4 linked regions of the Pelodiscus sinensis genome follow. The protein of the gene in region 1 interacts with the protein of each later gene in a pairwise test. Links are inferred from orthologs where the notes say so. Each region holds a gene or a part of one and is shown in the gene's direction. Other genes may lie near its edges. The genes, in order: TRIM41, GPATCH2L, CHD2 and protein FRA10AC1 homolog.

The links.
Region 2: the proteins of TRIM41 (region 1) and GPATCH2L interact in binary tests that used the Homo sapiens proteins (3 or more experiments, as listed by UniProt). The two-hybrid records come from large-scale screens. The link is inferred for Pelodiscus sinensis from reciprocal best matches to the Homo sapiens genes TRIM41 and GPATCH2L.
Region 3: the proteins of TRIM41 (region 1) and CHD2 interact in binary tests that used the Homo sapiens proteins (3 or more experiments, as listed by UniProt). The two-hybrid records come from large-scale screens. The link is inferred for Pelodiscus sinensis from reciprocal best matches to the Homo sapiens genes TRIM41 and CHD2.
Region 4: the proteins of TRIM41 (region 1) and protein FRA10AC1 homolog interact in binary tests that used the Homo sapiens proteins (3 or more experiments, as listed by UniProt). The two-hybrid records come from large-scale screens. The link is inferred for Pelodiscus sinensis from reciprocal best matches to the Homo sapiens genes TRIM41 and FRA10AC1.

The regions. Positions count from the first base shown.
Region 1 is NC_134742.1:1,231,462-1,238,616, reverse strand, and holds the start of TRIM41 (E3 ubiquitin-protein ligase TRIM41), read left to right. Parts: upstream 1-4,036; 5' UTR 4,037-4,267; coding exon 4,268-5,137; intron 5,138-7,155.
Region 2 is NC_134714.1:43,250,529-43,258,595, reverse strand, and holds the start of GPATCH2L (G patch domain-containing protein 2-like), read left to right. Parts: upstream 1-4,917; 5' UTR 4,918-4,992; coding exon 4,993-5,013; intron 5,014-8,067.
Region 3 is NC_134724.1:12,518,115-12,525,908, reverse strand, and holds the start of CHD2 (chromodomain-helicase-DNA-binding protein 2), read left to right. Parts: upstream 1-4,667; 5' UTR 4,668-6,933; intron 6,934-7,192; 5' UTR 7,193-7,340; coding exon 7,341-7,402; intron 7,403-7,794. UniProt on the Homo sapiens protein: ATP-dependent chromatin-remodeling factor that specifically binds to the promoter of target genes, leading to chromatin remodeling, possibly by promoting deposition of histone H3.3.
Region 4 is NC_134718.1:41,756,865-41,764,918, forward strand, and holds the start of protein FRA10AC1 homolog, read left to right. Parts: upstream 1-4,925; 5' UTR 4,926-5,286; coding exon 5,287-5,319; intron 5,320-8,054. UniProt on the Homo sapiens protein: May be involved in pre-mRNA splicing.

The DNA.
Region 1 (7,155 bases):
CCCTGTACTCTAGACACATAGATATTTTCATACCTTCTGCTCCTTGTTCCTCCCCCCCCCCTTTTTTTTCCTCCTTCCCCCCTCTCGCTTCTCCCCTATTTATTTTGGGTCTGCACACCCTAAACTCAAAGCTCTGGTCATCTGAAGAAGAGGGCTGTGCCCAGGATAGCTCATGATCCCATCTCCATGTTACGTTAGTCTATAAAGTGCTACCAGACCTTTTGGTGTTTTTGAAGTTTGTCTTGTATCCAATGTTAGGCTGAAGTCAGCCCTGGAGCAAATCTAGCCAAGTTGTGAGAGCCATTGTGTCAAGCATATGTATTATGAATGATTATTGTTGTTCATTAATACTGACTGTCATGTTACAATTGCAATTACTATTAATCAATATCATGCTGGAAACAAATGATTGTAAATCCAATTAAGAATAATAAACTGCTAAACTTTTGCTAGGTCCTGGTGTTTGAAATGTACATCCTGGCATGTCTGAGAAAAGCACAGGAAAAAAAAGAATTAACACCAACAACATTCCTCCCTTTTTTGCCCCCATGGTGCTGGGTAGGAAAACCACATGGACTCACTTTCGCTGCTGGACTTTTGGCTTGTGATTCAAATGCTCCATCAGTTCTTGGCCTGTCTCCAGACCAATCCCCTTTAAAAATCAGCCCAGTTCCCTGAGTTGCTGAGGAAATGCAGCTGGTCTGGGTTTAGCAGACAGGCAGACAGACCAGCTCAGAACTTGGCTTTGGAGTGGGGGGGGGGGGGGAACATGAGCCCCCCCTTGACTTAGCTGCCTTTACAAGACCAGCCAGACCCTGGAAACAGACACAACTTTACAGCCAGGGAGGAAAAAAGAGTTTAAAATAAAAAACTTGGGGTAAAAATTTTCAGCCGCCCAACGTGGGGCTCGAACCCACGACCCTGAGATTAAGAGTCTCATGCTCTACCGACTGAGCTAGCCGGGCTGTTGATGCAATTTCACCTAAAATAGGCCTGTCTCCTTTTCCAGTCTGGGCTTTGCCAAATGTCCAGCCCTATATTGTACTGACCCCAGACTTGCTTCCTATCCAGCAACTTCCATCCCCGGGGGAAAAGTCTGGCCTGGGATCTGTAGGAAACCCCTTGTTCCTCACCTCTGTCTCCCCAGGGGGATACCACCAGCGCCTGGGCTAAGAGTGGCCGGTTAAAATCAGCCCCCCTCTTTCCTCCCCCTCTCCGCCGGCTGCCTCCCAGAGAGGTTGTCGAAACTGCTTCAAAATGGGCCCTTCCGTTTTCCCCCCATTGGCGCGTGGAATAAATTTTGTGCGGTGCACCGAGGCCGGTGGCGATGTGCACCACCAGCAGACCGCGGGCGCTCTGCTCATCCGTTGGGCGGCATTTGGAGCTCTCCAGGGTGGCCATGTGTCCGGTTTTGGCCCCCGACAGTCCAGTATTTGCAACTTCTGTCCAGTAAAACAAACAGAAAATACCGGACATGTAAAATGTCGGGTATTTTCTGTTTTTCGGGGACGGAAGGCCGCTTGGGACAGTCTTCCCCTCCGCCTCTGGTGGGCATGGGGAAAGCAAGATGATATAAAGGCGCCGTAACTCTTTTGTGAGGTTGTTGTTAGGCTGTTTTTATTTCTCAACAACTTTGGTCCTCGTGGCCTTTTTTGGGGGGGGGGGTTTTTTGCTCACCCAATGTTTTTCCCGCAAACGTACCTGGGCCGAGGGCTCAGCGTCCAGGGAAGGCCGGCTGGCGAGGGCTCCCAGCAGTGAGGGAACCACCTGGGATGGAAGGAATACGTCCGCCCCCGTGAAAAGGGGTTAAACACGGCCCCTCGTGCCCTGGCTTTTTATGGATCTCAGCCTCCAGTGCCTCCAAGGATCCCACATGGTTCATTCAGCATGGCTGGACCTCAGAGTTGTTTCGGGGAGTTTTTTCCGGACACCTCCAAGTTAGGCCTTGCGGGGCGGCCCTCCCGGGACAGCCCTGCCTGCACCAGGCCTTCGACTACAGGAACCGAGGGGCCTCGCGAGCAGAGGACTGGAGAGCCTCGTGCTAGAAATTGGGGTGGGCCCCGCCGCACTTAAAAACGCCTCGCTCCCGCGGCGAGCCACAAAAGCGCCGCCGTGCGCTCTTACCGTGCCGTGGGCCGGCTGTTCCCTCGCGGTCGCACGCTGCTCCGGGAAATCCACGGCTCCGGGCGGGTGGGACGGGCGCGTCCGGGGACACTAGGCGGGGCGGGGCGCTAGGCGTGTCGTGGGGACAGGCTTCCCGGGCACCGCGCCGAGCAGCCGGTGGTCAAACTCGGGGCCGGTCCCCGGAAGATCTCTGTGCACCCCTAACGGGAGCACTCTTACCTACCCACCGCTGCTTCCCCCAGGGGGTCTCCTCCCGGCTCGCCACCCCCGGCTCCAGGCAGGCTCCACAAATGCCTCTTCAGCAGGGCCCCCTCCCTTCCGCAATTTTTTTTCTTTCGGTGTGGAATAAATTTTGTGCAGTGCACCAAGGCGCATGCCAATGTGCACCACCCCCGAGGCACTGCTGGCTGGGGGGGGCTCCAGCTCTCTCCTGGGTGGCCACTCCCCCCCCACACACCCTCCCTCCGCAACGTGCCCCCCCTCAGCACCTCCCACCCCACTGGGGGCGGGGCTTAGGGCGGCCCCGCCCCCACAAACGTAGGCCCCGCCCCTTTGGAATTTATGGGTGAGAAAGAGGCCAGAGCCAGAGCGCCCCCCCCCCAGCGTCTTCTACCCCACCGGGGGCGGGGCTTAGAGGCGGCCCCGCCCCCTTCAGCGTCATCGGCCCCGCCCCCTTGGAACTTAGGGGCGAGAAGGAGGCGGAGCCAGAGCGCGTCCCCCCCTCCTCAGCACCTCCCACCCCACTGGGGGCGGAGCTTAGGAGCGGTCCCGCCCCCTCCAGAAGTAGGCCCCGCCCCCTGGAACTCCAGGGGCGAGAGGGAGGCCGGGCGTGTGACGTCACACGGGGAGGCGGGGCGGATCCGAGCCGGAGCGCCGCGCGCAGAACCTCCCAACGGGCGGGGGGGAAAGAATGGAGCGTGGGGCCGGCAGTTCCGGTCACATGACGCGCTGTCCTCATCCTTCCCCCCCCCCTCCCTGCCGGAGAGCGGCGGAACGCGCGCCGGGGGGGGGGGGAGCCACTTCCGGTCACATGCCCCGCCGCGCGCCCGTGGCGGAGCGGTAAAAAGGTCCCGCCGCCACTTCCGGCGGAAACGGAAATAAGGCTCCCGCTGCCTCTTCTTATCCCCCCCTTCCCCCGCTTGCCTTGACAGCCACCATAGAGCGCGCGGGTAGAGCGTCCTCGGGCAGCCGGGCAGGGCCCCTAGTGGGGGAGGGGCTGAGGGGTCGGGGGACCCCCAGGAGGAAGCAGGGGGGCTGAGGACCCCCAGGAGGAAGTAGGGGGGCTGAGGACCCCCAGGAGAAAGCAGGGGGGCTGAGGACCCCCAGGAGGAAGCAGGGGGGCTGAGGACCCCCAGGAGGAAGCAGGAAGGTCGGGGGACCCCCAGGAGGAAGCAGGGGGGCTGAGGACCCCCAGGAGGAAGTAGGGGGGCTGAGGACCCCCAGGAGAAAGCAGGGGGGCTGAGGACCCCCAGAAGGAAGCAGGGGGGCTGAGGACCCCCAGGAGGAAGCAGGAAGGTCGGGGGACCCCCAGGAGGAAGCAGGGGGGCTGAGGACCCCCAGGAGGAAGCAGGAAGGTCGGGGGACCCCCAGGAGGAAGCAGGGGGGCTGAGGACCCCCAGGAGGAAGTAGGAGGGTCGGGGGACCCCCAGGGGGAAGCAGGAGGGTCGAGGGACCCCCAGGAGAAAGCAGGGGGGCTGAGGACCCCCAGGAGAAAGCAGGGGGGCTGAGGACCCCCAGAAGGAAGCAGGGGGGCTGAGGACCCCCAGGAGGAAGCAGGAAGGTCGGGGGACCCCCAGGAGGAAGCAGGGGGGCTGAGGACCCCCAGGAGGAAGCAGGAAGGTCGGGGGACCCCCAGGAGAAAGCAGGGGGGCTGAGGACCCCCAGGAGGAAGTAGGAGGGTTGGGGGACCCCCAGGGGGAAGCAGGAGGGTCGAGGGACCCCCAGGAGAAAGCAGGGGGGCTGAGGACCCCCAGGAGGAAGCAGGAAGGTCGGGGGACCCCCAGGAGGAAGCAGGGGGGCTGAGGACCCCCAGGAGGAAGCAGGAGGGTCGGGGGACCCCCAGGAGGAAGCAGGGGGGCTGAGGACCCCCGGGTGAAGTGGGGGGCTGAGGCTCTCAGGGGGAAGCTGAGGGCGGGGGGGGCCCATGGCGGCGGTGGCCGGGGAAGGCGGCCCCGGGGGGATGCCGTGCGGGCAGCCCAGCGCGGTGGAGACGCTGCAGGAGGAGGCCGTCTGCGCCATCTGCCTGGACTACTTCACCGACCCCGTCTCCATCGGCTGCGGCCACAACTTCTGCCGCGTCTGCATCACCCAGCTCTGGGGGGGCGAGGAGGCGGGCGAGGGCCGGGCCGGCTACGCGGCCGAGGCGGCGGGGCTGGGCGGCGCGGAGGACGAGCTGGACGACCAGGCCGATTACAACGATGAGGAGGAGGAGGAGGAGGAGGAAGGGGCCGAGGACGAGGATGACATGTGGAGCGAGGAGGACGAGGAAGCCGACTTCTGGGACGACCCGGGGGAGGACGACATGTGGGAGGACGAGGCGGGCGACGAGCTGTACTTCGAGGAGGACGACTACGCCGAGGAGGTGATGGAGGAGGAGGAGGACCTGGAGGAGGAGGAGGAGGAGGAGGAGCTGCTGACGCCCACGCCCCCGGCCGCCGTGGCGCCCCGGCCTCGACCGCTCCCCCCCTTCACCTGCCCCCAGTGCCGCAAGACCTTCTCCCAGAGGAACTTCCGGCCCAACCTCCAGCTGGCCAACATGGTGCACATCATCCGACAGATGCACCCGCTCCCGCAGCGGCTCGCGTCCCCGGCTGCTGTGGGGACCTCAGCGAGGCCCGAGGGGGCCGCGGCGCCGGGGGCGCTGGAGAGACGAGCCCTGTGCGAGAAACACCAAGAGCCCCTCAAGCTCTTCTGCGAGGTGGACGAGCAGGCCATCTGCGTGGTGTGCCGGGAGTCCCGGAGCCACAAGCACCACAGCGTGGTGCCGCTGGAGGAGGTGGTGCAGGATTACAAGGTACGCCGGTGGGGAAGGGTCGCCGGAGTCCGCTGGGCCGGGCGCGGCTGTAGAAGTGCAGCCGGTTAACCGAGAAGCGGATGCGAACACGTCCGTGCTATCGGCTACACGCGTTATGATGTAATGGCGTAGTCGATTAACCCGTAACCGAAGCGTATCGGTTAATGCTGCAGACGACGTGCGTTCCTCCCTCTTTCCCCCGGCCGGTACACTTTTAGCAGGCTGGCCAGCAGCCCGGCTCAGTCCTGGCTTGGGACAGGTCTGGGACCTGCCCCCTCTGCGGCTCAGACAGGCAGTCGGTCCACGAGAGCAGCTGGGTCTGAGACCAGCTCCCGCCTGGCACCCCCGCTGCTGCCTCTGATACAGCGGCAGCAGCGCGGAGTGTGGGGGGCTCCTCGGGCGTCTGCCGGCCCTGCCCACGGGGACTATCGAATGGTTAAGTAACTGAGAAGAATTCATGAGGCTGCTCGACTATTCAGTGAACCGATATGTAACCTGCCTAACGCGCATCCCTTCCGCCAGGACGTACGTTGGCAGGCTGCCTTGCGCTGGGTCCCGGGAGCTACCGCTCTCCTGGGACCCCGCGCATGCTGGGACTGAGGACTTGTGGCGGAGGTGACAAACCTTTTGTCGACTTCACGACTGACGAGTTACACGCTTTTTAACGTCCCTGGTGGGGTGTCTGGGAGCCGTTGGCGTGCCCGGGGGAGGCGCCGGGGCCCCAGTGGGTCCGGTAAGGCCAGCGCGTGGCTGGAGGTACCGCGTTGGCTCCGGGAGGCCAAGGGGGGTTCGTTGGCTGGCGGGTGACAACGTGGAGGGTCGGCTGGGACAGATGGTGGAGCTATGGGAGTGGAGTAGAAGGTTTTGCTGCTCTTCCGAGATACAGCACAGCGCAGACTCGATGCGGACCTAAGAGTCAGGGCAGGCAGCCTTCGACCTCTTGGGGGGCAGGGGTACACAGGCCCCTGAACCCCCCCGGACTCGACTCAGTCTGTTCGAGACAGCCCCTCTCTCCGCCACTGCTCACCCACTCCCCCCAAGTAGCCACACCCCTTCCTTTGATCAAACTCCTTCCCCGTGCCGGGTGAGCAATGGCTAGGCCCACCGAGGCATTTATGTGCGCCCGCTGAACTATCTGGGCCAGCCCCGCCCCCTGGCGCGCAGCAGCCCCCAAAGGTTGGGGACCACTGAGCTAGGCCATGGCCTTCGTGCCTGCCCTCAGGGACCACCCCCCGCTGGGCGGTGCACACGGACACACACACAGTCTCTGCAGAGCAGCACGGGGCGGTAGGGGTCACCCACAGCCCGACCCAGCAATCCGTGAATGCCCAGCCAGAGTGGACATCACAGCGTGTCCAGAGCCAGCGCTGCTGGGCACAGAGGGTCCCCTGAGCGCACATCCAGGCATTAGACCCGGGGACAGCCGGCAGCAAACCTGAGACAGGCAGGAAGACGCCAGGCCCCGAGCATCGCAGAAGGCTTTAGAGGGACGCCGCCGGCTTACGGCTCTGTTGCCCGGCGTCACGAGGGTGAGCCGGCCTTCTCCGTGCTCATTCCGGGGCACCTCCACGGAGGGATCGAAATTCTGGATCCGTGCTGGGCTCTCTGGGGGGCTGTGTGTCCAGCGCCCAGCACGGCAGCACCCCGGTCCGTGGCTGGTGCCTCCAAGGAGAACTCCCCTCGTAGCTCGAATCACAAATTCCGATCAGCGTGGCCCTGAAAATCAGGGCCCGGAGGGCGGGGTAAAATTTCCCCCTCGAAGGTTGGCAGGAGCCAGGCCGAATAGTCCTGTAACTAGAGGCGACTGGGAGCGGCGAGCGCGTGTATTTTATTTCTCTCGCCAGCTTTTCCTGTGTGCGTGGCCGGCGCCTGACGCCAGGCAGGGAGGGATCTCAAAGCGCCTGCGTGGGCTTTCGGAAGCTAACGAGGCTTGGAGTGGGTTTGCCGTGGGGTTAGCCCGTTGGGCCCGGGATAGCGGAGAGACGAGGAGGGCGAAGGCAGAGCTTTGTCGGACCAAT
Region 2 (8,067 bases), on another chromosome or scaffold:
ATTTCTGTCAAACGATCCCTGTCTTGACTGCGTTTTTTTTTTCCCCAAAAAGTGGCTTTTTGAAAAAAAGCTGCAGCAACCATTATGTAAATCAGTGGTCCCCAATGCAGTGCCCGCGGGCACCGTGGCGCCCGCCGGGCCATTTCTGTGTGCCCGCTGAGTGATCGGGGCCAGCCCTGCCCTGGGCACGTGGTGCATGGGCAGTGCTGGTCCCTGGGCGCGCAACGTATGGGTGGCCCTGCCCCCGGGTGCAAGGCGCAAGGGCTGCGCTGACCCCTGGGTGCGCAGCACATGGGCGGCCCTGCCCTTGGGCGCGCAGCGTATGAGCGTCCCCGCCCCTGGACACTCAGCACAGGAGCAGCGCCGGCCCCACGTGCACAGCGCGTGGGTGATGCTGGCTCCTGAGCATGCAGCACAGGAGCGGCGCTGGCCCCAGGAGTGCAGCACATGGGTGGCACCAGCACTGGGCAAGCAGCGTATGGGTGGCCCTGCCCCCCCTGTGCCCGGTGCGTGAGTGGCCCCGCCCCCGGGTGCCTGGCAGCCCCAAAAGGTTGGGGACCACTGATGTAAATGAAGCATGGGAAATTCAAATCCCGGCTTCATTTACAATTTCGATACGTCTAATTTACATCCCTTTATCGAAAAAGGGATGTAATTTAGATGTACCCTACAAAAAACTTCCTATCAGGAATAAGTTGCCTAGGGAGGTTGTGGAATCTCCCATCTCTGGAGATATTTAAAAGCAGGTTAGATAGACATCTATCAGGGATGGTGCAGATGGTACTGGGTCCTGCCATGAGGGCAGGGGTCTGGACTTGATGACATCTTGAGGTCCCTTCCAGTTCTAGTGTTCTGTGATTCTGTTCTATGATTCTATCCTGTGCCCCTGGTGGCCTGTCACATTGCTACAGAAAGGTCAGGAGGAGGTGATGGTAGTTTGCCACGTACAGCTAGTAAGAGGCTGAAATTGAGACTATAGAAGGGTTTGTATGAAGAGCCCTGCAGGTTGAGCGACATGTGGGAACCTTCAGGTAGTCTTAATACTCACTTAACTGAACAATCAGCTGTCTCAGTTCCAGAGACTGTTACCTTGTGTAAAGTGGCTGTGACCCTGAATTGTTCCCCTTAGTGGCTAGAACCAATCCTGGTAGTCTAGCCCTTTGGGGTGGCTGAGGTTTTCCTGTACCTCCATCTTCATCTCTGGAAAGACCAGAACCAGCAATGCGCCCCTGCTGTCTGTGAGGCAGCATGAGCTAGCAGAGAGACCCCAGGAGAGGGAGCAGAGATCTAGATTCTAATCCCAGCTCTGCCACATGACTTGCTGTGTGATTTCCTTTTTCTGTGCCTCAGTTGCCTTCTCTTTCCCATCTCTAAAATGGAGCAACAATGCTCATTTCTTTTTTGGAAGAAGAACACACATACTGTATTTTATTATGGGGCCTCTGGAATCCACCCCTATCTAAACCATACATGTAGGGTAGCCAAAATCTCTCCACTTCCCCCACCACAGGGCATCCAGAACCTTTTTGTATCTTGCAGCTTCCCTAGGGCTAACTTAAAACCAGGTCTGATGGAGACCTGCTTAAGGAGAGCAGTCCATCCCTTCCTTGGACGGTGAAACATGGTGTCCCCAGATCCTTTACACAACCCTTGATGTTGTGCCTCTGTGGTTGTCCCATGGATATGCCCAGGGATCTGAATTGGGGGAACCAGTCTGAGGGGGATTGGCACACTCACTCTTTCTCACTGGGGTCACCCTGTATCGCACCTGGCCTGGTTCAAAGGTCAATGGATCCCTTGACACCTGCTGTGAAAACAGAAAACATACAACTCCCCAGCCTTCCTACTGCAGCTCCCTGCACGCTCCATTCTGCTGTATTTCCCTTGTCTGCCATATCCCTTCCTTCAGCTGCTCTTGGCAGCTCATGACTTCGTGCTTTTTGCCGATGGCCACAAAGAGCAGCATCTGTTGGCTACATCTGGAGCTGCACTTCTGGTTCCCTTGGAGCCAAGGACAGAGCTGCTGTTGTGAGAGCAGGAATTTGGGGTAGGGTAGAAAGGTTCCTTGAATTCTAATTTCCAGACAGTTAATAGCTCTGTTGAATTTACAATACCAGCATCTTGATATTTCCTTAACCTAGAGAAAGTGGGTGATGTGACATTCTCTAGGTGTCATATTGCTCCAAAGGTTGGCAGGAAACACCCCCAGATACATGAAGACTAGCAGGAAAGAGACTCTGGAAGAGCTAATGAAAAATGGAATCTTGCACCATGTGGAGAGGGACCAGGCACCTATGCAAACCACATCTCACAGCCACCATCTTTCTCCTTGAGAGAGCCAGTGAACAAGTTAGCCTTTGGAAGCAAGCAACTTAGCTGATTAAGGGGGCAGAGGGACCAATCTGGAAAACTATGAGGCACTCTGTCCCCTTCCTTCCAACTTGTCTCATCTCCCACATGGCAGAGACATTGTATGAACCACCTTGGGCCAGTCCTGTGTAATGTTCTTGCTGTCTTCAGTGAGGCGTAATTCTTGAGAGACCAGGCATTAGAATTCCTGGGTTATTTTGTCATTTTCTTGCAATGTGACCTTGGAACACTGCTCTCCATGCCTTAGAGTTCCCATCTACAAAACAGGATGAATGAAACTGATCCACAGTGAATGTCTGAAAAGTGCTCTAAGATCCTTGGATGGGGCGTGTTACGGGGGGGCAAAGACGTATTTTAGACGTATACTTATAAGATTGCTTCAGTGCTTGGTAGGAAACCATCATCCATCTCTGACATCACATCGAAAGTCATGATGTCACAACTCATTGTTCTTAAAATTCTGAGAGAATACCTGGATACCATTGTAAAAAGAGCACTGTAAATATACAGGCACATAAAGAAACCAGCCTGGATGATGACCAGCAGGGAGCAGGAGGAGAGAGACAGACAATATATCAGTGATGTATGGTCTCTACTTCTGTACATCACTCCCACTCTTATGCATTCCCATCAATAACCCGCTCCCCCCCCCCCCATCCTGGTATGTTCATACTCACATTACTGACCCTACTATGTATATATACAGATGCATGCTTCAGCTCCTTTTTTTTCCTCTTCTCTTCTCCTCCCATCTGTTTTGCTGCTGTATAACTCCTTGATAAGTAACTTTCTGCAGCCTCAAGGGCTGGGTGCAGGGTCTTGCCCCTCCTCCTCTCCAACAGCCCAGTGGGCTTTTGAACATGTGTTTCTGGGAGGCAGACACCAGCTGGCTGGGGGGGACATTTGCATATTCAGCTAAAAGCTCCTGAGCTGGGGATGTCTGGAGGAGCCCGTGGCAGGATGGAGGGAACAGAGAAGCTTTGGTCAGCTAAAGGTCAAGTGAAACAGATTTCCAAATGAATGGACAGATGGTAAAAGAAGCGGGCGGGTGGGGAATGAATTCACTTTTACATCAAATGAATAAATAGCTACATGCAGATAGAACATGTGACTAGTGAGCCAAGGAACCTGACAGTCATGGTGCTACTGGCAGCTTTCTTCATATTCCTTGTGTGAGGGCTGTCCTTCAGTCACCACTCCACACACACACACATATGCTGGGGAAGTTAAGAGAGGTGGATGAAGCTGCTGTGGAGAGAGTGAAGGGCAAAGGAGGGAGGATCAGGTGAGGTTTTCTTAGCAGGATGGTCTTATCAAAGGGAGTGGCACTTAAACTGCCACTCATAACAATGTGAAATAGAAGCAATACACCCCAAGAAACCAGAAGTTAAATAATTCTTGGGGCCTCTCCATTGTGATTCTGGTAAGATTTCTAGTCATAGCCTTCTCTTGTCACCCACCTCAGCTTTTTCTCTCACAGTGCCCTCTGCTGGCAGGGGCAGCATGAAACAGATCCAGCCTATCTGATATGCTTCCAGTGAGGGGTTCATCCTGTAGCCTCTCCCTTCAGAGGAAGAATTGCCACTGAGTTATATAACTAGTCCTGGATCAGACTGTTCTGAGATCATTCAATCGCATCACAACTGCAGTTTCCAACAGCTGCTTGCAAAAAAATTATCACAGTCCTCCCATGTGTAAAAATAGGAATCTCAGTGGAAGGGAATGAAGATCCCAGTCCTCAAAGGGTGAAAGAGCAAACTTGGGAAAGGGTACAAATTCTCTGGAAGGACAATTGCTGCCCAGGTGGCTCAAGGGAAAATGGGATGAAAATGAGCAGTAAAAAATTAGACTGAATATCAAGAAACTCATGGTGTGAGATTTACAGGGCTAAGGAATCATCTTTTTTTGGAACCCGCATAGTTAGGGACTGGAATGGGCAAAGTTTTGGAGAATGGACTAGGGAATAATCTAGTCTGTCAATTCATAAGGCATGTCCTTAAGGATGTTAAATATCGGTTAATTGAATAGTCGATTAACCTCATGAATTCTTATTGGTTACTCGAGTAGTCTATATCCCCGGGGGTGGGACCGGCAGCCAGTGCACTCCGTCCCCACTCCCAGGAGCCTCCTGCTGCTCCATGCTGCTGCCTCTGTATCAGAAGGAGCTGGTCCGTAAGGGGAGCCAGTTTAAAAACCAGCTCCCTTTGCAGACCGGCTACCTGTCACCCAGTGCTGCTGCTTCTGATACAGAGGCATCAGTGTGGCAGCCATTTAAATTTAAATGAAGCTACGGTTATTTAAATCGCCGCTTCATTTTCCTATGCCGGGTAGCCTAATCTACATGCCTCTGTCGTCAGAGGCATGTAGTCCAGACATACCCTTAGTTTCTTTAATCTCTTGAAAGGCACTTTGTCCAAGGCTTTTGGAAATCCAAGTGACTATCATCTGGTTCTCCTTTCTTCACTAATTTTCTGCTGATCTCAAAGAATTCTAGTAGATGAAGGAGGCATGATTTTCCTTTACAAAGTCCTGTTGATTTGCCTCCAGATTCCATCTCTCTCAGCTGTTCCAGTTCATCACCTCTGGGCTCTGATGGCCATGAGCTAATTGCACCTGGTATATATGCATGCCACTTGGCACAAGGCAAGTAATTCTTATCCATTTTGTACTTTGTGATGAAAATTCAGTAGCCATCTCCCCCCATGACTTATGGAGCTAATGTAGCTTCCATAGTTAAATAAGGTTCTTTACTCTGTGAGTGGGTATTAGCTTGAAATGGGTTTTCTTCTTAAGTTAGACTTCAGGCATTTTAGTTTAACAGACTTTGTTCAGCAGTTTCACAATTAATTCAGCTGCCAACTCCCTCACTAGTAGTCCCATGAATTCTAAACTCATCTGTGCTCTCTCAGATCCCCGTGTATTCTACCTAAATATCGGTGTGCTCAGCACATTGGAAATATGCAGATAGGACATTGTCTGCTAATTTTTGTAAGTTACTAACTTTGAAGAACAGTAATAGTGATTAGAGGTGCTTAAATCCTAAACAAACTGAATTCCAAATATATTTTCAAATAAAGATGCTGAGTTTAGCTTGTGGAATTTTATTATTTATCATTTTGTAAGTATGCAGTGGTGTGCTAGGACTGTATGACAGAGCTTACAAATCTTCAAAGTTTTCTGAATTGTAGCAGGAATATTTCTTTCTCCATATACCTGTGCCATTTTGATATTCATTAGTTCAAAATGTTTGTCATCTCATCAGGAAGTGATTTTTGGTGGCCTGTGTGGTTGTTAAATAGCTGTTATGCCCCCCCACCTTTAGGTACCTGCATTTCCACAGTGGGCGTATCATTTGTAAGGGACCTTGAGAGGCTTTCAGATGAAAAGGGGCTATAGAAATTAAATTTGTTCTTGTCCCCCCAACTGCTAGGGTTTCAGTCAAGCACATCAATCAGTCTGAATTAGGGAAGTTAAAATGCGTTAGTGGTTACATGCAGAGGGCAGGCAGGAGCTGGATACACGGGGAGCCGGCTTTAAAACTAGCTTGCATACCAGCTCCCACCTGCCCCTGCCTCACGCTGCAGCATGCGGGGAGAGGGTGGCTCTGCAGGAGCCAGTACACAGAGGGAGGCAGCTGATACAGAGGCAGCAGTGTGGGAGCGTCGGAGGGGGCCTGCATGTGTAAATGTGCATGTTAACCAATGAGACCAGGCTGCATGAGGCCGAATGCTGCCCCCACTTACACCAGTAAGGCCTTATTGACCTTAGTTATCTATACAGGAGAAAAGAGAGCAGAATATTATTTCTTCAGTCTCTTCTCCCCCAGACTTTACCCTGCTCCCCAAAACTCCTCATTGCTCGTACGCTACAAAGAGTCTGTCTAGCTCCCCACATAAACCCCTTGTTTTCTACTCCGGGGCATCTGCTGCCCTCATGTTTGTTTTATGACTCTCGTGTTTCCATGAGGGTTTTTTGTCTGAGATAGAATGGGTCCATAACCTTGTGGGACAAGGACATCAGACTTGCTGCCAGTGCACACGCTTGCCTAAGCTCCCCTCCCCCTTGCTTTCCATTCCCCTTAGAAAATAAAACATTCCAGCAGAATAATGGCTGCCCACCCCAGTGGAAAACCTCTTCTCCTGACCAGGGTTCACTGGCACTTTGGACTAGCTTAGGGGGAAAAAAAGTGAAGGCAGAAGTGCAGCTCCTGTTGGATTTACATGCTGGCTGGGCACTGGGAGAGGTGGCTAAGTGGAAGCAGGATATTTAGGGACCTGCTGCTTGCATGATTATGCCTCAGCACTGCCAAGGTGAGTTAAATAAGGCAGAAGAGCAATGAGGCCTGCTCCTCTGCAGGCTAGTAGGAGCCCTCCTGCTCCCAGCCACTGCTCTGGGTTTGAGAGCAAAAGTGGAGATATGCCTGCCTGCTTTCCGATCTCCTTCACACCGGTGTCTCCACCTGTCTTTGTCACAGGTGCTAGTAGTGACATGAGGAGCTTGTGTCCACCCCCAGATTGGGGCTATCAGTGCTGTCCTCAAACAAAGCTGCAAAACTCATTTCACACCTGGGATGTTTTATGTGGCTGCTTTGCTGCTGTGTGTGCGGGTGAATTTAGAAGTTCTCCTCTTAGGTGCTGGTGCTAGGGAGCACCATCTTGTGGTGTCAGAGAGCTTGGAAGGCAGGAGTATTCAGGCTAGATTTAGAAGCTAGCTAGCCTCCATGCTGAGGGGCAGCAGGTTTGCAGAAATGTTGGTGGTGTCCAGAGAACACAGAACCTGCACTCCTTCCCCACCCAAACCTCTTCCCTCCCCTTTCCCTGTCTGAGGGAATTTGGGTGGGGCAGGAATGCAGGCTCTGGGATGGAGTTCGGGTGCTGGGTGCAGACTCTGAGCTGGGGCAGGAGATTGGGGTGCAGGCTGTGGGAGAGACTTTGGGTGCTGAAGGGGTGAGGGGTCAGGCTCTGGGAGAGAATGTGGATGTGAGAGGAGGTCTGCGGTGCAGGCCCTGGGCTGGGGCAGGGATGCAGAATGGGGTGAGGGCTAGGGATGTGATAGTGTAAATGCTTATCTGGTGAGCCTGGGCTCATTGGTGAACCTTCATGGTTACATGCAGCTGCACCACCTCCCTTGTGCTGCTGCATGTCAGAGACAGCAGCACGAGGGGCAGGTGGGCAGGCAGGAGCCGGGGATTGTGGGGAGAGGCAGCAGCACGGGGTGGGAGGTCAGGTGGGTTCTCCAGAGAGCCAGTTCCCCCTCATGCCCTGTGTGTAAACAAAATTAATTTACTCAGGTAAAAGTGTAACATCCCTAGTGAGGGGTGAAGGCTCTGGGCTAGGGGATCTCAGGCATCACCCCTGCAGCTTCCCATTGGCCACAGGGGGTGCTCGGGATGGGGCAGTGCATGAAGATATCCATCCACCCCTACCTTCCCCGTGGGGCTGGGGGAAAGACCAGGCTCCAAACTTTGGTGGAGCAGGTCCCCAGGATAGAAATATTTCTGGGCTCGGGCACCATGGGCCTGTATAACTTGTTGTTTATATCTGTGGTGAGCCTGTGCATAGGGTGTATATATATAGTCTTCTCTGAATTTGCCCTTACCCACAGTTTTTACGTTAGTTCCCATACTATCATTGGAGCAGACAAACCCCTCTCTGTGGTGGCATAAATAGGCAGTTAAAGATCCAGTCACTGAGTTCA
Region 3 (7,794 bases), on another chromosome or scaffold:
TTTGGCAAACATAAGAGGAAAAACTGAACACTTACTGTTGGCTACAAAAGATTGCAAATTTATTTGTTGCAGTGGACTATTACCGAAAGTCATCTTTCTAAATTAGAGCAAAAAGTTAATATTGTGAGTGTGAAGAGAAGATACATGTAGAAATTTTAAAATTTCAAATGTTTGGTTGAATATGTATCTAGGTACTGCAGTGGACTGTTAATAAGATTGGCAGTTGTATAGTTTGAGGATATGAAGGAAACATACCAAACCTTGTGGTAACTGCCTTAAATAGCCTAGATATTAATCTTGTTCAATTAGAAATAAAAATACAATAGGGTGTAGGAAAACTTTTTGAGCAATAGTGATGGCTAATTCTTTGATTCCACAAAAGGACATAAAGAGAACATAAGATTCAGATAGTAAGAAGAGGAGTCTTAGTCATGGATGCCCAGTGTGACTGTTTAAAAAATCAAGCCATTGTAGAAGTGTCACTCAACGAGAAATCTAACGTGTGAAAATACATTGAAATATTTACTAGATGTATCCTAAAAAAAACACAGTTTTACCTGTGTGGTTGGAAGAATTGTCCAAATTATTTACTGATGCTATTAATACTTTCCTATTGTAACTCCTTTCACTGCAGGATCTTGTTACAGAAATGGTGACATTAGCAAAATGAAATTCAGATTACCACTGTCAGTTGTTTCCAAATTCATTGGTACAACCAAATATGGCTGATCCAAGCACAGATTACCTTAGGGATGATATATTTTATTCAATCACATTTTGCTTTGTAGTCAGTTGGAATGACCCAACAGAAGTAGGTTTTCATGGATAGAACTGCAAAACAAAGGCTTACTATGGTTATCAGATCAATATTTGGCTTCCCTTACTTCTTACCAATAGAAGCTGTAATCATAAAAAGAAACAAGAAACTTGGTGAATTTCATTAGTATTCATCTCAGTCACCTAAACATTCCCAAATATTTGACAGACAAGAATTGTATTCCTGTTAGCCCCAGCATATTAGACACACAAAATAGGTGAGGTAAAATCTTGTATTGGACATGAAGATGGTCCAGTAAACCATATTGCCTCACCCACTCACTGACGAGATTGTGGTTATGTCATGTTTTGGTACTTTAGATTTCATTAGTTCCTAAAAATATTTTGAAACACTGACTAATCTGTGTCTAAATTGGTTTAAATCTAGATGAGTATGTAAAATATGATATACTAGCAAGTGAGACCCGTCGTTGACTGGGCAAAGTAATTTTCCATTGATCACAAACATATAGGAAAGTTCAAGAAATGTAATGTCATAGAATTTTTTATTAATGTGCTTGCAAAAGGGAAGTAAAACCAGTTTTAAATTTGTAGGATTTCAACTTCAAACATATCCAATTTATTGAATAATTACCATACATAGTAAAAACTTGAATCAGAAACTCTTAAAACTTTCATTACTCTTTCTTTGACTAACTTGAATTATTTTGATATATATAACAGTAACATTTTTCTTTACGCTAACATGGCAATTGAATAGGTGACTTGAATGGGTGACTCAATTTTAATTATTAGCAAATATTTTTATGAACTCTGATCCTAATAGTAATGACATTTCTGATGAAAAACAAAAATAATTATTTAAATCTTTCACCCAGCATATTCTGGTGTCAAAAGTAGTACATTCCGCTAATTTAAGAGGCAGGATTATTTATGCAAATTTGGTATCTGTAGGTAATCACAAAGTATGACTTTATTTTGCACAAATAAATCCACAAACACACCCTTCAAAATATATAATAGATAATAAACTACTTGTAAGTTTTTCAGTATAGATAGTATTGGTTAAAAATACATGCCCCACTAAAAGTAGAAATACCACTTCAATTAAAAAACAAAACAAAACCGAACATTGAGGTATGTGAGGTTTAAGATGGGAAGATCCTGTGATTTGAATATTCTGCTACCCTTTTCACTTGTTACATATGATACCACTAATAGTTCAATCTAAATAGTTGCTCCTGTATTCCACTTATGTGGAATAGAGATATCTTAAGTGGGGGAAAAATCACTTCATCCAAGAATACTGGGATATGAAACATTATAAATGGCAAGTCATTAACCCAAAACAGGAAGTTTGTTGTACCTTTATAGTTCAAAATATCCTGTCCAACTAAGTAAAATTTAAGTGAGAATAGTGGCATTGAATGAGTCAAAACACTAGATGACTACACTCAATTCTGTCTTTTTTGGTAATTTTTGAAGCCTTTCTTGCCTGGAAAGATTATGCACATCTGGAGGTTTTTCTTAAGGGGACCAGAGTGGTAGAATTGGCTGTAAAATTTAAACTGAAGGTTAAGTTAAAAAGCCACATTCAAAAGAATGGAATAAAAGATGTCACATATAAAGTTACAATGCAAATTCACTATTGAGAAGTTACTGAAAGCCATTTATTGTACAGTTAAGGGTTTTCCACCTATAGTTAGCCTACAAGCAAGCCATCAGTGCAGTGCTTTTTGAAGTTTTCTTTGCTATTCTGCCATTTAGTTGTTTCCTGTGCTTAAGGGTTGTGTATATGGGTGCAAATGGTAGTTTAAAAAAGTACTTTATTGCATTTGTCTTGGGCCACATTTGGCTTGTTTCAAGTCAAGAGAACTTTATCTATAGGCCCAAATTTCCCTTTTTTAATGGCAAGTCAGAATAATGCTTCATATGGTCACTTTGTCACTGATCTGGTGTCTTAGGCCCAATTGCTGCTTTATGAAAAGCAAACTTTGAGCGTATGGCTGAAAAAAACATGATTGGAGAACAGCATTAGGCGGGTTGTATTGAAAGTTATGAGACAAAGCAATGCAATCTGCATAGTTACTATCTGATTTTGATACATTTTTTCTTCTAGTAGATACTGAAATTTGATTGCTTAAAAATGAAACAGCACCATGGGTGTTCCATTTCCCAAGTTAGAAGACTATCGCCAAGATGGCACAATTTTAGGAATTTCTATTGACTCAGTCAATACCTTCAAATAATAACCTAGCTGTCATATCCCTGGTATGATTGGGTTTGATAACTTGTGTGCTAGAAGCAGAGAGGGGGACAGTTGTTGAAAATGTAATGTGGTATAAAAATTAGGCTTAGTTTCATCTTAATTTGAAACCCATCACTGTCATAGATGGCAGAAGTACTTGTCACCAGAGATGAAACCCTTCTCTATTTAATTTTTAATAGTTCCCCATGCAAATTTTTAGAAGTGAGTTAATTATTCTCAAAGTTTCTTGAACTCTTATTTTCCCCTGTAGTATTTATTTGTATTTTTGAAAACTTACCTGTCATAGTGCTGGATGTGCCTAAGTTAATTGATGGCAAAATCAGATGTGGCAGGTATAATTTATATTGAACCAAATTAATGAAGCTTTAGTTCTAAAGTTAATGTTCAAAATGTCTTCAAGGTACATGGTTGAATATTATCTGTTTAGTTTAAGGATAAGATTATCTCTATTCCAACAGCATTTTTCTTTTAATTTTTTATAAAGAGTCCAGTCAGATGAAGAGTGTCAAATGGAGTCTACGAATGAAAAACCAAGATGGCAGTTCTACTGTTGATTGAGAGGTTGAGAAACTGGACTAATGCATGAGTGCTGTGATATATACATCCAAGACAGGGAAATTTTAACATGGACTTCATTGTTCCTAAACCAAAGAAGATTTGGTTTGTGATCATCCTACCAAAATGGACTTGAATTTCTAAATGGTGTTGTATAAGTGAACAGAAAATGGATTTGTTTTTAAGGGGGTGGGGATGGCAAAATTTTATACTCAGAAATGTATCCTTGACGGGGGACTCAAGTTGATATGCCTGATATTGCCATCTATTTGGGAAAAATGTATTGTTGTTTTAAGTGACTTATTTAATAAATTTGTTTTATACTTTATTCTTGGTTTGTCTCTTTCCTGACTGAAAAATACTTAGAATGTGTATTGATGCTTACTTAGGTCATTAAATTCTTTGATTATTGGATTCTGAAAATGACAATTGTCTTAAACATTGAAGGTTTTGTAAGATTTACGAAATACTTCATTTGAAACATGGCTATATTTGGGTTCAAAGACTTCAGTTTCTCAATTTCTAATATTTTATTTTTACTTATCCATGCTGTTAAAATGTTTAACTTTCTATATTCAGTATTTGAACAGTTGTCAGTCCTTTTGTTTAACTTTCCAAAGTTTTTATAGGATGGTATAAATGTCAAATAATGGCAAACTAGACAACATGTATATTCATTGGCTGGCAGTGGAGGGTCATCCTGAACTATCCTTGGTCTGGCTGAGGAACTCTTCTGTGTTGCTGTAATCTGTTTTTGTTACTTATGTGGACGGGTGTGTACACACACACACAACCTTTTATAGTGAACTTCAAATTAGTTGCCTGAATGACTTCCTTTCTTCCTGCAGGTGCTTTGTGTTGGAAACTTGTTACGTTTTGGATTGTGTTTAAGTTACACCATTCTAAAAAAAGTTATTTCTTTGGCGTTTAGTTCCTTAGCGTAAAGAATGTTAAACCAATGTATTTAAAATGGATTAGATTTAGTCTGTACAAATGTTTATTACAGTTCATGGCCATCCTGTATACTGTGAATTTCTTGTTGACTTGATAATACAAATAGATTGCACAGTGTTAAGTGGAACTATTTTGATCTTTATTACTAGATAAACACAAAGGTCTACCTATATGATGTAGTATTGTAAAATTCAGTTATTTCATAGATCACTTTGCCTCTTACATTTCTTGTATGTTCAACCTCTGGCTACAGAGAAACATACTTAAAATGTATCTTGGACAGGTAGCTTAACTTTTCTCATGTCTGAACACCATGCAGATTTGAGAGTAAATTCAGATAGACTGGACAAAAGGAATCTCCAAGTGACAAATACTGTAAATTTGGCGCACGATCTGTTCAGCTCTTATTCTTTAAGATAAATTGTTGGAAATGTTCATTCTTAGTATATGATAGGCTATTCATAACTCTTGAATCTTGCAATGTTGAATGTACACTCTTCCCAGTCTTGTTTCTGCCATTTATTATATGGCAGAGTTGCATTTAGACAGTCTAAAAGACCGAGTAGTCAAACTAATTGACTTCCTTTGTATTGCTCAAATTCAGGTTGGAATTGGTGCTCTTTTCCTTTTTATAACTTTTTTTTTAAATTGTGCTGTGTAGAGGGCAGCTTTCTTCTATATATAATAATTCACCAGTCAATAGTGCACTATTGGTATGGCAGATCAAACTTACGCAACCTTCCTTTTAGTACACATTGGAGAGAGGGTGGATTTACAGGGCAAGAATGGCAAGGATGTGAAGTTGAAAGAAAGCAACTTGTTTTTATTGGTAGAACTTGCTGTTTGCCATTGGTTGGGACAGTGTACCACTTCTGATGCGCTTAATATAAGGCCAAATCAAAACTACTAAAAAAAAAATCTGGTACACATGCCTGATTCCAGTATCTTGTAAAATGGACAATAAATGTGTGAAAAGTTCTGATGGCATAGGCTACTATTTTTGGTTGTTGGGGTGGAATAGTGGTCACTGGGAATAAGAGCATCTTTTGTGTTTAGATCCCCTCCAATTCCTGAATGAGTCATGTTTTCTCCACTGGGAAGTAGTATCTGAGAATTTACTTGGATTACAATGAATAATTACTTTTGGACCTTGACTTTCTCAAGATTGTAAAAAGTCCCTTTTAGGATGTTAAGGTCTATTACAAACAATAATGGGTTAAGTCATGGACATTACATACCAGAATGCTATATTTTTTCATGGTGTATTGAATTAATTAAATTAAAATAACATAGCTATTTAATTTTGCTCTTCTCAATAACCACTAGGGAGGCGCTGTTGAGATGAAAGGGTTACTGGCAAACTGCTTTCTTTTGGTTGTTGTGACTTTCCATTTTTAAGCTTCAGTTATACACATTGTATGATAAGTGAAGGGGATTATTGATTGAACATAGATTTTTTTTTTTCATTTTTTTTAATTGCTCCCCATTGGGTGGGGTTGACTTCCAAAGAGGGTTGTTGCTCAAGTCTGGCTATTAGTCCATCTTCCATTCTTTCAAAATGGCTTGTTACAGCACCACTTCCTGTCCAGGGAGGAAGTAATTTTAGCCCAAGGACTGAAATATTTAGCAAATCTTTAAAACAAAAGAAACAAATGACATTTCTTTCCTGCATTAAAAGGGTGCCTGAACCAGATGGGGTTAAGGTGCCCCCTCAGATGGGGTGGTCTGAAGAAGCCAAGGATGTGGGGGGGTGGCAGGCACCCTTTAGGTGGAGGCTATCTGTTTTTTTGGTAGAAATGAAGGGGTGGGTCTATGGTACATCACCTGAGTTGTGGGGTAAATGTAGAGAGTGTCAATCAAAGGCAGAGCTCAGAGCTGGGAAGGAGCTCTAGATGGCGGCTGTGCCTTAGAGAGAGCGCGCTGAGCTCCGTGCCTTCCCAACACTTTACGCAACTTTCCCTAACTTTCGGGCAGCCTCAGGGGGCCCCCACAGCCCCTTGCCTGTCCTAGGCACCGATCGGGAGGCAATTGAGGCTTTTTCGGGCAGAAAAGCAGTTTTTGAGGGCTCTCTTTTCGTGCCTTGCTGGAAAGAAGAAGCCGTGGAGAGAGCCCAGGTCGTTGTTTTTCCAGCTCTAGAAGCCATGGCGTACCTCCATTTTTGTGCGCTCTCCTAATGAGCTTTTCCCCGGGACATTTTTTCTACTAATTATCGCTGTTTTTGCTTTAACAGCAGTATATTTTTGGAAATTAGGCTCTATTTATTTTTTATTATCTAAAACTATACAGTTGGCGTTTAACCTCTTAATATTTTGGATCTAATGTTTTTCCACTACCCGAAACTAATATCGGCTTGGTCCTGGCGGTGGTGCGTGAATCAGGTATGTGGGCAATTATTATTTTTCAGATTTCTGCTGGTTTTAAGTACTTAGATTTTTCGACCGACTTGAGCTGTATTGGGATGACGCAATAAAATACAGAGATTTTTTTTGCTGCTTCTGTTACTTTGGGAAAGTTTGCAAGATGCTGTTCTGGACTGTTTCTCTTCAATTTTTTTTCTTTTAAAATGAATATTATTGTTTTAAATGTCCATTTTCCTGTGCTGATCAGTGTTGTGTATTGTTACAACTATCATTGCAGCGTCAGGACTTTGTTCTTGATAACGAAAGCCGATGAAACAAACTGGGACCTTACCTTTCTTTCAACTTTTGACAGTAAATACCTGGGCACAGGACATCAAAGCAAACACAGATACCCTACACCCCCCTTAGTATTTAAGAATTAAAAGATGATGAGAAATGAGGACAAAAGCCAAGGAGAGGAGGGTTCCGTACACAGCAATGCATCGAGGTATGAGCTATCAACTTTATTTTATTTTTTAAAAACCTCTGAATACAATGTTTACCTTGACAGCTTTAGGTTACTGTCACTTCTTACTACAAAATATTTAACTGATTTTCATTCCCTTTTTTAAGGAATGACCTTGAGATTGTTAATATGCCACACCCTATTTTTTGGTAGCAATTTCTGAAAGTTGTGTTGTGACTTAAGGGCCCATGTCAGAATCAAAAGGTAATGTACCTTTATTCAAGGGAGCCCTTTTCTCTGTGTTAGGCTATTTTAGTTTCTGAATTTCAGTTTTTAGATTTTTTTGTGCTGTGAAAAACGACCTTGTCGTTTAAGCCATTGCTGCATTGCACCATTTTACATACAAGGCAAATTTTTCTTTGAAGAATCTCAGA
Region 4 (8,054 bases), on another chromosome or scaffold:
AAGGAGTTCTGCACAAGAAACAGGAGATTTCTTTCCAGATTGGGATGCAAAATAAAGGAATCAGATTAAAAAAACAAAAAGAAAAACAGTGAGAGTAACAGGCAATTAAGCTAATACAGGGTTACTAGGATGTTTCCTAATGTTAAACATCTGTTGCAAGCTTGGTGAACTACAAAAAGTAAATAGACTAAATGACAGAAAGTAATTGTAAATTTTTCTACAATTGTTTCAATTGTTAGATTCAAGAGGTTGTAACAAAGATACTATTTTTTTTGAGATAACTGATTTTTTTAGACAAATGATATGCAGTAGATCTATCTATCTGCATGTCTGTAAGGCATTTGATACAGTTTCACATGAGAAATTATTACTTAAATGAAAGGTGGAAAGGAACTGATTGAAGGGGAGACTACAATAGATATACTGAAAGCTGAACTGTCAAGCTAGAGGTAGGTTACTAGTGGAATTCCTCAGAGGTTAGTCATGGAACCAATCTTATTTAACATTTTCATTACTGACCTTGGCACAAAAAGTGGGAGTGCGCTAAAAATAAATTTGCAGATGACACAAAGTTGGGAGGCATTTCCAGAATGGAGAAGGACCAGAACATCATACAAGACAATCTGAATGACTTTGTAAACTGGAGTAATAGAAATGGGATGATATTTTATAGTGCAAAGTGCAAGATCATGCATTTAGGGGCAAACAACAAGACATCTTTCTATAAGATTTGTTAGTTGGAAGTGACAAATAGGGTTGCCAGATGGTTTCAATGAAAATACTGGACACACTTGACATTACATCACAATCTACATTACATGTTATTTAGAAAATACCGGACATTTATATTTTCTCAATTTGTTTCCCGAACAGAAAGCTCAAATACTGGACTGTCCAGTTCAAAACTGGACACCTGGCAACACCTGGTGATAAAGGAGGAAAAAGATGTGAATGTGTTTGTTGATCACAGGTGACTAAGAGCCATTTATGTGTTGCAACCATGAAAAAGGCTAACACATTCCTGGGATGCATCATGTGAGGTATTTCCTGTAAACAGGGAAGTGTTAGTACCATTATACAAGGCAATGCTGTACCTAATCTGGAGTTCTGTGTGTGTCTCATGTTTAAGAAAGATGATTTAAAACTGGAACAGATGCAGAGAAGGGCTAGTAGGATGAATTGAGGATTGGAAAACCTACCTTTTGAGAGGAGACTCAAAGAGTTTGGCTTGTTTAACCTAACCAAAGAAGAGTGAGGGGAAATATCAGGCACAGGGTTCCATGGAGGGGGGCTCAGGGCAGAAGGTGCCTTAGTTAAGACAGGGAGTAGGGCTCAGAGTGGAGGAACAGGAGTGAGGGCAAGGAGGACTGGGGGGGGGCTCAGAGCAGGGGGTAGAGGGTGTTGGAGTGAGGGCAGTGGATGGAGGGCTCAGGACACAGGGTAGAAGTTTGGGGGCAGGGCATTGAGTGGGGGGCTCAGGGTGCAGTGAGGGAAGTGGACAGGCTCAGGGCAAGGGGTGAGGATGCAGGACTCAGCATGGGGTGGGGGAGGTGAAGGACTCAGAGCAGGGAACTGGTGCTGTTTTAGCAGTGGAGTGTGGGGGGATTAGGGCAGAAGGTTGGGATGAGGAGTGAAGGAGTCGGGGTGTGTGTGTGTGTGTGTGTGTGTGTTGTGTGTGTTGTGTGTGTGTGTCACACCATAGTCTTCAACTGCTGGGATGCAAGGTCCCATTGCAGCGGGCAGCCTAGGAGGCTGAAGGGCGCCCTGAGAAGTTTAAGGTCCGTGTCTTTACTACTAGGACCGGGGTCCCGTTGCGGCAGGCAGCCAACAGGCTGACAGACACCTCAGAGTTTATAGGAAGAGCTTATTACATCTCAGATTTTAACTGCTAGGATACAGGATCCCTTCGCAGCGGGCAGCCCCTATGGATCTGTCCTCTGGAAGCGACACGATCCAAATGCCCAAGCTCTCCCTATACCTGTCCCTTATGACCAGCTGAAGTTCTTTTAAATTGTGCTTGGTTCTGTTACAGCAACTGAAGGAGTCAGGTTAAAGCTTAAACAGTTACGCTGTGTCTAGACTGGCCACTTTTTCCGGAAAAGCAGCCGCTTTTCCAGAAAAACTTGCCAGCTGTCTACACTGGCTGCTTGAATTTCCGCAAAAGCACTGACGATTTCATGTAAGATTGTCAGTGCTTTTGCGGAAATACTATGTTGTTCCCGTTCGGGCAAAAGTCTTTTTCCGAAAAACTTTTGCGCAAAAGGGCTAGTGTAGACAGCAGAGATTTGTTTTCCGCAAAAAAGCCCCGATCGCGAAAATGGCGATCGGGGCTTTTTTGCGGAAAAGAGCATCTAGATTGGCCGCGGACACTTTTCTGCAAAAAATGCTTTTGTGGAAAAGCGTCCTGCCAATCTAGATGCACTTTTCTGAAAATGCTTTTAATGGAAAACTTTTCCGTTAAAAGCATTTCCGGAAAATCATGCCAGTGTAGACGTAGCCTTACAGGTTTATTAAAGAAGCTTATAAATCATATGGTTACAATGGCTATTGCTCTATTTCTTAACTGCTAGAAAATATAGATCTTAAAAACGGTTATAAAGAAAATAAAGATAGAAAATAGAAATAATGGTACCAAGTGACAGCTTAGTCTTTAAAGAGCTCTAAGTCTATGTGTACACTTAAGACAAAGGACCACATCCAGGTACAATTTTTATCCCCTTCTGTGCCTCTCGAGTCCAGCGTATTAGGCCAGGGCCGGTCCCTCAATTCCTAGGAAAGACGAATACGAGGTGGGCGTCTTCATAGAACCTGGGGAGGTCAAACACCTAACCCGACCAGCAGATAGATGGTAGATTGACACGTGGGCTGTGTCTACATTGGCACACTTTTCCGGAAAAGGGATGCTAATGAGACCAGTCGGAATTGCAAATGCCGCAGGGGATTTAAATATCCCCCGCGGCATTTGCATGAACATGGCTGCCGCTTTTTTCCGGCTCGGGGCTTTGCCGGAGAAAAGCGCCAGTCTAGACGGGATCTTTTGGAAAATAAAGCCTTTTCCGGAAGATCCCTTATTCCTCTTAAATTGAGGAATAAGGGATCTTCCGGAAAAGGCTTTATTTTCCGAAAGATCCCGTCTAGACTGGCGCTTTTCTCCGGCAAAGCCCCGAGCCGGAAAAAAGCGGCAGCCATGTTCATGCAAATGCCGCGGGGGATATTTAAATCCCCCGCGGCATTTGCAATTCTGAAATGTCTCATTAGCATCCCTTTTCCGGAAAAGATTGCCAATGTAGACACAGCCTGGCTGTGTCTACATTGGCACCCCTTTCCGGAAAAGGGATGCTAATGTAGACTTTGGAATAGGCAAATCTGCGGGGGATTTAAATATCCCCCGCGGCATTTGCATTAACATGGCTGCCGCTTTTTTCCGGCTTGGGGAAAAGCTGGAGAAAAGCACCAGTCTAGACGTTATTCTCCGGAAAATAAGCCCTTTTCCGGAGGATTTCTTATTCCTACTTGAAAGCCAGAAAAAAGCGGCAGCCATGTTAATGCAAATGCCGCGGGGGATATTTAAATTCTCCGCGGATTTGCCTATTCCAACGTGCTACATTAGCATCCCTTTTCCGAAAGGGGTGCCAATGTAGACGTAGCCCCTCAGAGTAAATGTGCTGCTGGACCCATCTTTATACCCATAGGGGCCTGAATACTCTGTCTTATCTAAGATGCCAAATTGTGTTGGTCTGTCTTTGTGACGCCAGTTCTTACAAGGGAGTTTCAACTTAATTTACACTTGGAAGAGAGATAACTAAATTGTGAGTACTGGACATTCTTTATTGGGCGAGAGATTCCTCCCCCCGCAGACGGCTTTGTGTTTGTATCCATATAGGTGCCAGCCAAGGCAGTTCTCACAGCCTCGAGGTCAACAATTGGCATATCTGTTTATAGCCATCTAGGGTCACAGCAGCCTGCATATCCGGGCCTTCTGTTCAAGGCTTTTACTGCTCTGTGTGCCCTGTATGCTCCAGGCAAGCAAAAATGGATGTTACGGAGGGGGGGGGGGGGGGGAGGGCTCCTGTCTGGCTACAAGGGGGCTCAGAGCAGGGGGTGGAGATGTATATGAGAGACTCAGGGCAGGGGAATGGGATGAGTGTGTATAGGATGGAGTGCAGGATGTGAAGCTCACCCCATTTGTGACCCTGCCCTGCTCATATTCCCTGCCAAAAGGGAGCTGTAGGGGCAGCATTCTTAGGCAAGGGAGAGCTAAGGGTGGGCGGGGTGCTGCAGCAGTCCTGAGATCCTGGCCCTGCACGTGGGGTCTTGGCTGACAGCTCTGCACGGCCGGGACTCTGCAGCCAACACTATGGCTGTGTCTAGACTGGCAAGTTTTTCCCAAAAGCAGCTGCTTTTGTGGAAAAACTTGCCAGCTGTCTACACTGGCCGCTTGAATTTCTGCAAGAACACTGACGATCTCATGTAAGAAATCAGCGCTTCTTGCAGAAATACTATGCTGCTCCCGTAAAAGCTTTTGCACAAGAGGGCCAGAGTAGATAGCTCAGATTTGTTATGCACAAAAAAGCCCCGATTGTGAAAATGGCTTTTTTGTGGAAAAGCGTGTCTAGATCGGCACGGACACTTTCCGCAAAAAGTGCTTTTGCGGAAAAGCGCCTGTGCCAAACTAGACGCTCTTTTCCGCAAATGCTTTTAACAGAAAACTTTTCCGTTAAAAGCATTTGCGGGAAAACTTGCCAGTCTAGACACAGCCTACTACTACCCTTCTCCCCAGGCCCTGCAGTTGGCGGCTCCAGCCGTACTCGATGGAAACCACTTCAAGAACAGCACCCCCCAAGGGCCACACCTGCACCACGGCCCGCTCGTTGCAGGCAGCTTCCTGACCCGGGCCGCCGTGGCTCACTCTGCGCCCGCCCTGCTCCCTTTCGTGCCTCCGCAGTGGCCGGCCCGGCTCAGGGTTCGAGTCGCGCCCATTCCCCTGCGCGCGCCCCGGGCCTCGACTGCGCCCGGGAGTCTCCCCCGGGGTCTCTCTCCCCCGCCTGCGGGCGGCCGGGGCGCTCCCTGCGTGAGGCGCCGAGGGAGCCGGGCCCTGCGCCTCTACCCCCGGCCCTCTCCTGTCCCAGCCCCGGTTTCCGGCCGGGCCTTTCACGGGGAAGGACGCTGCTGGGAACCGGCCCGCGCCTCTCGCTCGGCGGGGGCTGGAGGCGCCCAACCACCGGCCGGTTCGCGTGCAGGAAGCGCGGCCCTGCCCATCCCGGGGCGCTGACCGAGCCGGCAGCCATGGTCCCGGCCCAGCTCCTGCGCTCTCAGGCCGTGAGTCAGAGGCAGGGAGCCACCGACCGCTCCCGGGGGGGGTGGGGAGGCGAGTAGCCCGCAGGCCCGAGAGAAGGGAAGGGCGGGCCCGGGGGCAGGCCCGCAGTAGGCCGGGTGGGAGGGGGGCTGTGTTAATGCCAACGCGACAGGTGCAAAATCCTCCTGCAGGCGGGAGTGGGAGTAAATAACACCGGGAACGCGCGGGCCGAGGTGTTCTTGGGGCGCTGCCCCTGCTCTCTCCGCTCTGCCATCGCCTGTGAAACGCAGAGGAGACTCCGCGTTGTTTTGAGCAAGGGCTTTTGTTTTGTCAGTGATTCCTGACCACTATCCTAGAGATGTTACATTTGGGTTATTTTAGCAATCGAGTAGTCGAAACCCGCTAGGTCCTGGCTCACACAGGGATCAAATCCTGCTGCAGTTCTGCAATTTAAAAGACAGTAGGAGTCAGGCAGGCTGCTCCCTGCCTCCTACTGCGTTTGAAATTGCAGAGCCACAGCAGGGTTTGGTCCCTGACACATTCGGACTGAGTGGGGCTGCCTGCCTAGCTCCTAAATTTAGTAGGAACCAGGTGGGCATTCCAGATCAGTCCCTGCTCATGCCAGGGACCAAACCCTGTTATGGCTCTGTAATTTAAAATGGAGTAGGAGGCTGCCTTCCTCCTCCCACCTTTTAAATTGTAGAGCCGCAGTGGGGTTTGGTCCTGGTGCTAGCTAGGACTGAGCAGGGCTGCCTAGGCAGCCAGCTGCTTTTGAGCAGCAGCCCCTGGCTGTGGGGGGTCCCAAGTTTCTACTCGGTCCCCCTCAGTCAGGGGTGGCTTCTGCGGGAGAGGCCACCCCTGCCCCCCTCCCTCTGATAGAGGCTGGGGGAGAGGGTGAGTAGTGGACTGGACCACCCAATAAGATTAAGTTTATTGGGTAGTCAACTAATCGACTGCTCTCTTACATCCCTATGCTAGTCTTGGCAAATTTTCAATGTTTCTCTTCTCTGTGGTGCCAAACAAATCTCTGTCCTTAGTCTTTTGGTCTCTGTTATTTTATTTTGATTTTTTTTCTTTTGTCTCTGTCATCTGAGAACTGTACTTAGCAAAATAAAGTTGAAAATAGTTTTAATAAGTTAACATCATTGCTTTTTGCCCATCCCTCCAATATACCTTCACTACTGTGTAAATGGTTCTGATCTCTTCTCCATCTTGGGTGAAAGTAGTTCTGCTTCAATGCCTGCTGTGCACTGATGAAGTTGCTAGTGGTGGTACTGTTGCTACTAGTGATTTGTGTGTAATGTGTATAGACCAACGATCCTGTTAATTAAGCTGAGCCAAAAAGTTGGACTGATTTAAGTATTCACAGTTTAATTTGGTAAGAAACCATAATTGGAGTCACTTATTTTAATTTTTGCTGTGTTTTGTTTCTTTCCTTTAAAAAAAATAATCATGCTCTGTGGTATGAAAAGCTACTTGTTGGTCAGTAAATTAGATGAATTTTAGGTTCTTCATTTTTCCATTTCAGGAAAAAAGTATTTACTAGACTCTAATTGTTCACTAAATATTCACAGTATTAATGGCACTATTAAAATAATAGAATATCATTTATTTTAATATTTTGGATGTTTTCCATTAGACACGTGAAGATTTTAACTGGTTAACCAGTAAACATCTTACCGGCATGCTTACTGGGGTAATTAGTTACCTGGTGCCCAGCTGGGCTGGAACAGCCCCCTCTCAAGGCATATTGTGGGGGGCTCTGCCCAGTCTGGCCTTGCAAGCCTCTGAGCCATGCGGGGAGGAGGCACTTCAGCCCGGCCAAGCACTGATTAACTAGTTATCCTGGTAAGCGTGGTGTGCAGATAACCGGTTAAACTTATAGTTTCACTGGTTTACAATTTACATAGGATTTTACATTCCTTTTTTCTATATTTTCAAATAGCAATTTACAACAATTAATTGAATTACAACACAATACAAAGTGTACAGTGCTTGCTTTATATTATTTTTATTACAAACATTTTCATTGTAAACATTTTCAGTATAATATGAAAATAGTATTTTTTGACTCACCTTATAAAAGTGCTATAGCGCAATCTCTACATCATGAAAGTTTACAAATGTAGTGCTTTTTTTTTAATATAACTGCACTCGAAAGTAAAAAAAGTAACATTTAGAGCATACACGTCCACCCAGTCCTACTTTTTGATCAGAGGTCATTAAGAATAGTCATTTCCAATCTTTTTATACCACGGACCGGCAAACCCATTCATAAGCTTTTGGCAGACTGTTTTCTTTGCATATTCATTATGGTAATTAATTTTAAGAGGTCATACATTACATCACATCTGTATGCACACAGTACATGTGCAAGGGATCAGTTTGCAGATATCTACAACACTTAAAAAAAATCCACAGAATTCCCCTCTGGCTGCTGGGGTGGGAGGGAAGGGGGCACCTACAGGGTCAGGGGGCATGTGGGGCACCCTATGTAGCATCTGAAATTTTGTCAGGGGCATAGGAGCTGGTGCCCACAAGTGTCACCACCAGTCACCTCTGCCCTCCCCCCACTCCTGCCCCTTGGGGTGGGACAGCTACCCTTGTATCTTCCCCATCTCCTTCTGTCCACCCCTGTCATAAGAACATATAAGAACATAAGAACGGCCGTACTGGGTCAGACCAAAGGTCCATCGAGCCCAGTATCCTGTCTACCGACAGTGGCCAGCACCAGGTGCCCCAGAGAGGGTGGACCGAA